Linked DNA regions of Arabidopsis thaliana. The protein of the gene in region 3 interacts with the protein of the main gene of each other region in a pairwise test. Each region holds a gene or a part of one and is shown on either strand. Other genes may lie near its edges. The genes, in order: AT1G35560, AT4G30410 and BEE2.

Region 1 (3,760 bases), on a different chromosome or scaffold from region 3:
CGCCTGATTACCCGTCCAGCCTATTTTTCAAACACATTGGAATTTACTGTGGCATAGGAGTTCTCTCTGACGTGTCCATGTTGCTCCACAAGTGGACAATTTTTTGGTAGATACTACAAAAGTATGATAGACAAAATACGAATTTTAAAAGAGAATTAATATATAAATCTAAAAACCCATTTGTATCCAAACATGTGGTGCTCATGCACCCAATAAAGTTTATCACTACAGTCTACACCATATAATTTTTTATTTATATTCGTTAGCTTTTTACGAACTGCAATCAATTCGAAATATTTGAAATATATGAGCGGTCAAAGAAGGTGTATTCAATTATACCCTTCAACAAAAGAGAAAAGGCATTCTGATAAATATTTAATTTATTCTTTTGTCCATTATGTTACACATAGAGATTCAACTATATTTCCTTTAAGTGACATGCTTTTGCATCGAATAAAAAGAGTTGCAAAACTCGTTAATTATTATGCAACCAAAACAATAAATCCATTTTCTTAAATAACAATTTGGCAATCCCGAAAAGCCAACCCTAAAACCCATATTAACATTGGAGTCCTCAACAAAAGTTGCAATAAATCACACATTCACACTTTTTAAAAACCAAAGAAATCATGAAGTCTTTCAAGGAGAACCATCTATAGTAGGATTTTGGTCTCTAGTAGCATGATCACTCACTTGATGTTGAGGCTTTTGCTCAAGACTCATTCCGAGACCAACCCGACCACCGTCTCCTCCTCCGCCGGAAAATAGCCCCAAATTGTTATTTTCTGCAACACCTAACCCTAACTGTTGACCTCCCACTAACATAGACCCTAGCTGAACCGACCCGATTCGACCCGGGTAATGACCCGGATTAAACGCCCACATGTGCTGTGATGGATCCTGAACGTTAGCCGGACCTCCTCCTCCTCCGACTGGTAACATCCAAAAAGCACTACCTCCGTTTGTGGAGGCTGGCGTTGGCGCTAGTGCCCACATCGGCGGTATCATATTTTGTGTTCTTGACCGGGTCGAACCCGGATCTTGATCAGGAGCTTCGGATCCCGGTTTAGGTGATCTTGAACCGGGTTCTTGATCTAGAAAATTAGGATCTTTAAAAAGATCTTCTTCACGGAATGTTTTGGGAAGAGAAGAAGAAGAAGAATCTGTCGTGATATGATGAGGATGATAAAGCTGTTGCTGGAACCCAAAAACGGCAGCGTTTTGAGCCGCTCTTCCCATGTGGAAAGATTTAGACAGTGGAGCTGAAAGAGTAGAGCCACTGCTTCGAAGAGAGATGTTCAAAGTAGAGATATTCGCCGGTATGGTTCCAGTTCCGGTGGCTGCGATGATAGCTGGCTCCGCTTGTTGGAGCAGCCACTCTATAGTCTCGCCGTCCGATTTGTGTTGTAACTCACGTGTTAGTTGGAAGACACGTGCTGCGCAGATAGCCGGCATACGTATCCTCCGGCCACGTCCGTCTACTTTGATGTGACGGTCCTTGGACGGTCGTTTTGCGGGTGTTTTAGCGGCGGTGACGGTGGTGGTAGTGGAGTTTGGAGCAGTGGTGGTTAATGAGACTGAACCGGAGATTGGTCCCATGGATGGGACCAGATGGGCCGAACCAGTGGTGTTGTTGTTGCTCTGGTTGTTGTTGTGGGACTCCATATTGCTTATAAAATTTATAAATTATGGGGAAAAAAACACACAAGAAAATGGAATAAACAAACAAACAAACTTGTACTGAATTTTTACTTATAACCTATAAATTCTTGGAGTATTTTTTTTTTCTGGTGGGGCTATGAGTTTGTGTTGACTGTTGTTTACTTGTTTGGAGAAAGAGAGAGTGAGAGGAAGAAGATGAAGCAGCTTGTAGAAAAGAGAGAGAGACTTTCACTTTCTTTTTCTTTTGTGTTTTATTTTCATTTGTAGTCCCACTAGGTTTTTGTAGTAGAGAGTAGAGACCAATATTTGCTGTTTCCACACCAAATGATCACTTAACCTTTTTTTGTTTGGTTATTATCACACTTACTATATTGTAGTATAAAAATAATTATGCGCCGAATGTATTGAATTTTGGTCTAACTTTGTGAGACTAAAACTATTTTTAGCAATGGACTATGAAAAGTTTGGAAGTGTTTTACATGATTGAAAAAGGTGTGGATTGTCTAAGATTATAATTTTGGGGCATTTTTGTTGCAATCTTTAGATTGTAGGGATCTATTTGTTGGTTTCCTTATAAAGTTTGGCTTTTAGGTTGGATTTTGCATGGGTGGGAAACGTTGAATGTTCTATGGGGGAAAAGAAAAAAACTAATCACTAATCATAGAGCCAATTTACACCCAATATAATAGTGTTTTAATATTATTTATTTTTTTAATAATTTACTGATAATAACACAAATGTCTCTTTCTTTGATTCTCTATTTTGTCTTTGTTATCCGAATTTGATGAAAGACTTGTTGAGAGATAAGGACCACTGTTTTTATTAACGATGATACTAATAATTGAAGACTATATATAAAGGCTTCAATTCTTTTCCCATCTGCCAAATTAGCACCCACAGACATAGGTTATATATAACTAATCATCTCAACTACAATTTTTCTCAACGAAACCTATACATCTCATTCTAGATGTGAAAACTGTCTAAGAATAGTCCAATTTCAGCCTACTATGTTATATGCACATGTATCAGGGTGTTAACAAAGTATTCGAAATCAAAAAGTTTTAAGGAAAATAATTATGCAAGCGTAGTAAATCAATTAGTTTATTGATATTCACGTTGCTCTTAGTGATTAACCATGTATGTATAATCATATTAGTATTAATGCCTATTAACTGATTTATTGCAATATTTTAATTCATAATTGAATATTTAGACTGTATTATTGTTTCATTTTTTATATCAATTAAATTCCTTTATTAGGTTTTATGTTTTTATCAATCCAAAACCATATAATATATTATATTGCTAGCTATACCATTCGGAATCTTAATTTGGACACGAGCTTGAGCTTTTTGGCTGTTCTTAATGTAAGTTACATGTACGCACCGTGAGCTAAATTATAGATAACAATGAAAGTGAAACCAAACCACTATAAAAAAAACTTTATATTTGAACAGTATATTTTATATAATTTATATATATATATATATATATATATGCAATTATATTTTGAACTGTATATATAATCTCTCTTATTTTTTATTTTCCTGAAAAATAATTGTTGAGACAGATGCACGTGTAAGCATTAGCAGTGAAAGAAAACAGTAAAACAGTCAGAGATAGTTGAAGAAGTACAAGAAGCGAGTGATAAAAAAACGTGATGTTTGGTCTGAAACTCTGGATCCTCCCACGGTCCATTGTCTTGTCTCTGTTCTCTCCAAAAAGTGAAAATGTTCATTTACAAGACCATATAGTATGTAGCCTTGTTCAAGATTCTGTTAGAGCACCTTCATTGGATGGAGACTCATTGAGTATCTAAGAAATAAACTATTAATATTTTTTTATATACATTTATTTTTAAATAAATTATTTTAATTGCTTAAAAAAGTATAAAAGTATCAACCAATTAATGTTTTAAATGTGTAGGCAAGACGTTAAAAATAAAATAAAATGGTGAGAGAGTGAAAGTGTTAATCACTCTTCGACCATATATATCTCTAAAATGGTGCTTTTAAATTGTTTTAGAATCATCTACTGCCTAAAAAGCCCATGCTTTACAGGTTTTAGCTTTGGGTTGGTCTTGTGTGTAGGTATG
Region 2 (3,760 bases), 2.4 Mb from region 3:
ATAATATATCTTTGAACGGTGTTAATTAATTTAGCTAGGAAAAAAATGAACGTGAATATGTACGTTTTTTTTTTCCTCGTTGCCATTAAGCGTCTTCTTCCTTAGCTGAATACTAAATGATGCTGATTGATGAAACATGGAGTATATACGAAAAAGACTGATTTTTACACGTGCTGTCTTATTGGTTGTTTTGTTCTAGTAGACTAGTACTATCCTTTCAAACCAAGTCTTTAACCCAAAAAAAAACATAAGCAAAGAGTCAAATATATATTGGACAACTCATATGAGCTAATTAACATTGAAAATCTGAAAAAAAAAAACAGAAAAAAAACTCACATGAGCTAGTATATATCATTTGTTTTGGGTTGACATGTCAAATGAGCTATCCAATACGAGTGAGTTGTAATAAAACTGAACCAGATATCTATAATATAAAATAACATTTGTCTATTTTTTTCTCTCAAATAAAAACATGCCAAGAAAAGCAATCGAAGCGTTAAAAATATCTTAAAATTCACTCACATTAACTAAATTAAATTCAAAAAAAATAAAAATTTGCCAAGAAATGTTCCAATAAAAACCACCATCACGTAGCAGAAACTTTCTATAAGCATTGTATAAATTTCCTTATGTACAAAATGGCTTACTATAATATCTCTCCATCCTCGTATGACAATTGCATTGTCCGAATAACATACGGTTCTAATGACCAACAACAAGATCCGATCGACATCATGCTTTCGCAACTAATCTCCGCAGATAAAAAAATAAAACAAGATTTTTTTTTATCATTTATCTCTCAATTTCGGCCTCGGCAGCATCAACAATACTTCTCATAACATTTACTTGCGTTTGAAGCGACACAATGTAATCTAACGTTTCTTGAAGCAACAAGACGTCATTGCTCATCAACTCACCACCAGGTACAACGTTTCTTAATCCTTGAGTCCGTCTCTTGACGAGTCTCTTAGCTTTTGCTGCAGCCTCTTCGCTCGCTGATTTCGATTTCCTCCTCAAGATCTTCTTGCTTCGCCTCACGATCTTCCTATGACACACAGTCTTCTTAGGCAACTTCTTGTTGATTAACGTTTCCGCTTTGATGCCGGAAAGCATCTGACGTACGAGGAAATTGTCCTCGGTGGCGGTTTTCTCGATTAGGGCTCGGCTCCAACAAGTTGTTCCTTTTCTTAGAGACGCCATTGCAACGTCTGCAGAGAGCTTTATTGCTTTTTTTCTCTCGTGGACGCTCGTGTTGTCTATCGAAGGACGGAATATTTGAAGACCCATTTGCCATTTCTTTAGGAATTCTTCATTCATTGAGCTCGTAGGCTGCATCCTAAATCCTAATCAAGTAGAAATATACTCAATTATGAGTCATTTTTCAAGAAAAAGTAAGTTAATCCTAAGTAATAAACCATGATGTCTTTATACATCAAAGGGATACATGTATGTAATATACTAATATACATCAAATCATAACCAAACTGGATTTTTTCCCCGTTTAGGGTTCCTTATTATAACCAGAAGAGACATGAACACATACCTTTTTAAGAATTTGTTTACTTCTAGTGTCGTCAAAGATTGCTAAGAACAAATCTGCGGTCACCTCACGAATTCGTGAATTCGACGAGAGAGAGGGAAAGAGACAGAGAGGTAAGGGAGAGAGAAAGGAGAAGGAAAGGGTCCATTTTAATTGTTTCAAAAGGAGAGGGAAAATGGTGGGGGCAATAGGAGATAGGAGAAGCACATGCATGCACATGCTACGAATGGCCCACGTACCCTTTTGTATTACCCTATAATTTAGGAAACTTTTGTCCATTATTATTTGTTTCCGCCGAAAATTTGTGATGATATATATACGTTTTGATGTTTTAAGTTTTGCAATTATGAGGATTTTATGAAAAAAAAAACATTTTTTGTGTATCTTTCGTTTGTTTTCTGTCAACTGCGTAGCTTCATTTGGTTTTTTTTTTCACACTCCGTGAATCCGTGATATATAATGATCTCATCACTCGTATATATATGTATGTAATGTATGTTCACATATTTGATTTAACATGTAATTCTCTATCTGACAACCTTATCAGTCAGCGCTGTCGCCAAGCAAATAAAGGCCTATATAAGCACGCTAAATAATCTAGATTATCTTTGAATTGGTGTCATTACTTAGTTAGAACATATATAATAACTAAAAAAGTCCATCTCAGTTTTGAAATTTAAATGTTAAAGAACGTAAAGTATAGATTAAAAAGTTGTGGTTCTCCAATGTTGTAGATTGAGTCATCAGTCTTCCATAAAAGTTTATAATCTATATATACTTACCGTGACCTGGATCACCTAAATCACCTAAGGTTATAAAAAGATAACAAATGATATAGAATGTATAGCTGAGAATAATGGCTGGTTCTGACGATTGTGAGTGCGTAATTTGTTAATGTAATATGTTCAGTTATTATCGAGCAATATTCAGTTTGATTATTGTCGAACAATGAGTGAATCTATTAATCATATTTACCATTATACGTCAATAATTTACATACAAAAAACAGAATTTGAGAAATTTATGATGCATTGCATTGCACAGTGCACACCTTGGTTATACGGTGCATTATTTCATCTTCTTTTTGATGCTTCACAGTGATACATTCACAACTAGGTATCAAATATGAAAAGCATGGTCAACACATTAACTGTGCCATAACTTTTTTTATACACATACAACAAATAACATCAATATGGTGTTAGTGGTTAAAACGTGGCGATCCGCAAACTTTGGGAAAGCCTGGTTTTGAAAAAGAAAAAAAGAAACAATAATAATTGTTGATAAAAAGGAAAAAGAAACAATAATAATTCATTTATATTGGTCAATTTAATTCAGAAAACGAAAAAATGATATTGATAGATGTACATGAATATAAAAGTTGATGTTCGATAAATATATACAACTATCGAAAGAGAAATATTTTTGATATTAAAATTAGCTTTTTTTCTCCAACAAAATACATCGAACATGGATCTTCTGGTGCGGGGATTTGTTTTCCAATGGACCTCCGTAATTTACGGGAATCTCAACAATCATTCTCCGAACTCTACACGCCCACCATCTCATTGTCGTCACCATCAGTCAAATTTTCTTTGATTAAAATGTTTTGTGCCCTTAATCACATTCTACGACGTCGTTAATGTGGCAACACTCTTGCATGCACGCGTCCACCGAAGCGCATGTGCACACGTGGAGGGACCCTTACCCATTGGTTCTTTTACTTTTACATTTTTTCACTCACCAAAGAGTGATTTTCAACGGTGACTCTCACAGTCTCTCTGATTGACGGCTGTGATATGTTTTAAAATCATTTACTATCATATAAGAAATTCAGATTTACTGACAGGTCGATTGTCCTAACAGTTGATAAACTTCCAAAAATTGAGGATTTATAGTACAATCAAATTGTTTCTAGTGTCTTGAATCAAAGAACACCAAATGGTCTTGATCTACAGAGAGATATCTCGTACTTTTTGAATTTGCAAAAGATATGTGAGATGACATTGCAGAACAATACATTGATGTTACTGTTGAGTGTTGACAGATGTAACTATAATATAAAAATAATGTTTGAGATCATTGGTGGCGTGGCTGATGGTTTCATCACTCATCATGGGGAATAAAACAGACGAGTTCACAAGATGCAATAGTGAGAGTCCATTGATGCAAAACAGAATTATATGTAAAACAAATAGTTTTATCAAAGTGTATATAAAA
Region 3 (3,760 bases):
GATTAAACAGATTGTTCATAATTCAGGCTTAGGGGCACATCTAAATGAAAGGTTGGAGTTGAATCTTACTTGGTCGACAAATTCTAGCAGGAAAGATTGATCTTTTAGATGATGATGAACTGAATAACTCTGTCCTAACAGACGGTGTTAAAGCACATGAAGCAGACATCGATTATTCACAGAGAACAACCTCGTAAAATTTTCAAGGACAAGAGAACCAGATATTTCAGAACTGAGAGATGCAAAAAGGACAAACTTTTTGAGCACCGAGTGTATGTGTGAACTTGCGGGAGAGTTGTGGCGACCCCTGAGCCAGACAAGTCGAATCCGCTCGACGAAGCAGAGTGTTTCTGAAAGTTGCGGTTTTTATGGTTTAACGATTAGGCCGGTAATTTCGACTTAGCTAAACCGGCCGGTTCAGCCGTATTTGTCCCAAAGATCCTGATTTTTTACTCATCATTTTGACAAAAGCTGTCAAGTTGATATTATCAAACAGAACTATTGATTTGTACACAACAAGATATTGAAGCACTCTTTCTTAAATTTCATGTTCTCTAACTCTCTTCCTCAGATCTTGTCTCACTGTTGCATAGGTGTGACATTCTTTTGAAGTAAACAGAAATAATTGACGTGGAATGTGATTCCTGTTATCACATAGATCCATCATTAGTGAAAAGAGCAAACAACACAGTTTTGTAAGTAAGCAAATTAGAGACGTGATACACACGATCTAGGGCCTTATACTTTGATGTGACGAATACGAGTGTTCCTTCCGTTTTCGTGATTCGACAAAATGCCTAATTGCAACATGAATGCATTGACACAAACTTCTTTACAAAAGAATACATCCTGAAACCCATTGAATCAAAAACTTTCTAAAACTTTTTTGTGGAAATTGCAAAAAACAACAGATACTCTCAACGTTAAGTATTTTGGCATTTGAAGCATTTACTCTTCTCATCTCATAAGCAGCTTGTTATTGATGTTTCCCAAAGAACCAATGAAATGGAAACCTCAAAGCAACCTGTACGGTGTGTTATTGAAATCGGTCTAATTTTGGATATATTTTTTCAAGTTCTTCAAAAAAAAAAAATCGAAATAGTATTGATTCTCTTGAATTATGTCACGCATTATAGATAATGTATAGATATATAATTAATAGGGAAAAAAAGAAAGTATAGGGACCAAACACTTAGATCAAAAGCAATGGTGTCGCCTACCTTCCTATCACTTATCTTCAAACCCATTTTCTTCTTTAGGTCGCTTATTTTGTGTCCCTATCAGTTATGAATTATAATATGTGATATTATAATATGTCATATATTCATCGAGTTGCCATCTCTCTAATATATGAAATCCACTTAAATTATTGGTGTAATCTATGGATTGATGAAGGGTAGTAATCATACGTCACAAGGATCACGTATAGATTCACAACAAGACATTGAAATGATATCACTCATGATTCAAACCATTGTTTCTATTCATTTGCAAGTTAAGATTCATAATTCACATTCCCCACATTCTCCACCTTCAAGCCTAAGAAAGACCCTCTCTCTCTCTCTCTCTAACAAAACAAATTGGTACAATTAGAAGGTTGTCTTACCAAAAACTCAATGATTTGATTTTACAAAAGAGGATATTTATATGATAATACCCTCATGAACCTTAAGTTTTACAAAGTTTGATTATTGTTGCCAAACAAAAAGATCCTCTCAAAAACTTGAAAGGCCAAAAGGAAAAAAAAAAACACAGAGAAAAGACACAAAAGAGACTAACTTAAGAGACTCCTCATCTCATGTTCATAAGGACATGACCACATGGTAGGTTATGTCAATTAGACCCCACAACTTCTCATCTCACCTTCTTTGTCCCCAACCTCCTCCACTTTTATCAATTTTGTCCCTCTCTCACTAGATTTCGAATCTCATGTGTGTGGGTCAATGTTGCTTTCTATTTAAAGCTAAGAATAATTATATCTAATGGATTACTTTTCTTCCACACATATATAACTTAACTCTCTCTTTTTCTCTTTTGCTTTAACCCCCTCAAAGAAAAGATAAGAGCCTTTTAAAGTTTTTTTTTTACCTTCTCTTCATGGACTTGTCTGTACTTGATAGGCTTAAGTGGCTGCAACAGCAACAAATGGTTTCACCTGAGTTTCTTCAGATACTTGGCTCAGATGGGAGAGAAGAGCTCAAAAGAGTTGAGAGTTACTTGGGAAACAACAATGATGAGCTGCAGAGTTTCAGACATTTTCCCGAATTCGGACCGGATTATGATACTACTGATGGCTGCATTTCTAGGACAAGTAGCTTCCATATGGAGCCAGTGAAGAATAATGGACACAGCAGAGCCATTACCTTGCAGAACAAGAGAAAACCAGAGGTTTGTAGCTCAAGAAAGTATTGAGTATTAGAGTTTAGATTTTGTTTGAAACATTGTTTCTGATCGTTTTAACTATTGGTTTTAGGGTAAGACAGAAAAGAGAGAGAAGAAGAAGATCAAAGCAGAGGATGAAACAGAGCCAAGCATGAAAGGGAAATCAAACATGAGTAACACAGAGACATCTTCAGAAATTCAGAAACCAGATTACATTCATGTTAGGGCTAGACGAGGTGAAGCCACCGACAGACATAGCTTAGCAGAGAGGGTAATTAACTAAAGTGTTGTTGTTAAATAGGTTTCAGAGAAATTACTTTCATTAGAGATTTGAGTGGTTTTATATTTGTGGGATTTTGGCAGGCAAGAAGAGAAAAGATAAGCAAGAAGATGAAATGTCTACAAGATATTGTTCCTGGATGCAACAAAGTTACTGGAAAAGCTGGTATGCTTGATGAGATCATCAACTATGTCCAATCTCTGCAACAACAAGTCGAGTTCTTGTCGATGAAACTCTCTGTCATAAATCCAGAACTTGAGTGTCATATCGATGATTTATCCGCAAAACAGGTGAATAATAGTCAGTTTTCATCCCAAGAACTAACCAAGAGTTTAATTACCGCATTTATTGACTGGTTAAATATTGGAATCTAGTTTCAGGCTTACTTCACAGGTCCTCCAGAAGGTGACTCGAAGCAGTCAATCATGGCGGATTTTCGGTCTTTTCCATTACATCAGCAAGGATCTTTAGATTACTCAGTCATAAACTCAGACCACACCACATCTCTCGGCGCTGTAATAATCTTTATCTCAGACAAATCTTTCATTAGTCCCAATTTTTTGTTACTTGTCCGTGAAGTAACTTATTTCTTATTCTGTTTTGCAGAAAGATCATACATCATCAAGCTGGGAAACTCACTCACAGTGTCTTTACAACAGCTTGAGAACCGATTCTGTTTCCAATTTCTTCAGCCTCAAGTAAAAAAATTAGGGATAGCCTCATTAAAAAAATCGCGGTTTTTTGTTGTTGTCTTATCCATTTATCTATCTTATCTGAAATTTGAACCAAAAGAGACAGAGGAAACCAATCCAAAGATCTTTCTCAATCTATTATCTTCATACAAATATAGTGATTTACATATATTCCAGGGGATATGTATATGTGTAGAAGAAAGAGAAAAAACTCTTGTGGTCATAGCAATTCCTTTTTTTGTACATTGTAGAATCAAACTCTTGTGGTCGTAACAATTATTTCCTTCACAAATTACAACTACACTTGTATTAATGGAGATGCCTTTTGGCCTGGTATCAACATATACAAACCTAAGCCAACAAACAGAGAGCCAAAAAAAAAATCAAAAAAATTTCTCAAAAATTA

The links.
Region 1: the proteins of BEE2 (region 3) and AT1G35560 interact in binary tests that used the Arabidopsis thaliana proteins (3 or more experiments, as listed by UniProt).
Region 2: the proteins of BEE2 (region 3) and AT4G30410 interact in binary tests that used the Arabidopsis thaliana proteins (3 or more experiments, as listed by UniProt).

The regions. Positions count from the first base shown.
Region 1 is NC_003070.9:13,115,460-13,119,219, forward strand, and holds AT1G35560 (TCP family transcription factor), read right to left. Parts: upstream 1,777-3,760; 5' UTR 1,666-1,776; coding exon 640-1,665; 3' UTR 367-639; downstream 1-366.
Region 2 is NC_003075.7:14,870,517-14,874,276, forward strand, and holds AT4G30410 (sequence-specific DNA binding transcription factor), read right to left. Parts: upstream 1,752-3,760; 5' UTR 1,336-1,751; coding exon 793-1,335; 3' UTR 468-792; downstream 1-467. UniProt on the Arabidopsis thaliana protein: Functions redundandly with IBH1/BHLH158 in a regulation node known as the incoherent feed-forward loop (FFL).
Region 3 is NC_003075.7:17,241,602-17,245,361, forward strand, and holds BEE2 (BR enhanced expression 2), read left to right. Parts: upstream 1-1,981; 5' UTR 1,982-2,097; coding exon 2,098-2,388; intron 2,389-2,473; coding exon 2,474-2,653; intron 2,654-2,745; coding exon 2,746-2,952; intron 2,953-3,036; coding exon 3,037-3,177; intron 3,178-3,268; coding exon 3,269-3,364; 3' UTR 3,365-3,695; downstream 3,696-3,760. Other genes in the region: AT4G36530 (alpha/beta-Hydrolases superfamily protein), read right to left, coding at 70-169. UniProt on the Arabidopsis thaliana protein: Positive regulator of brassinosteroid signaling.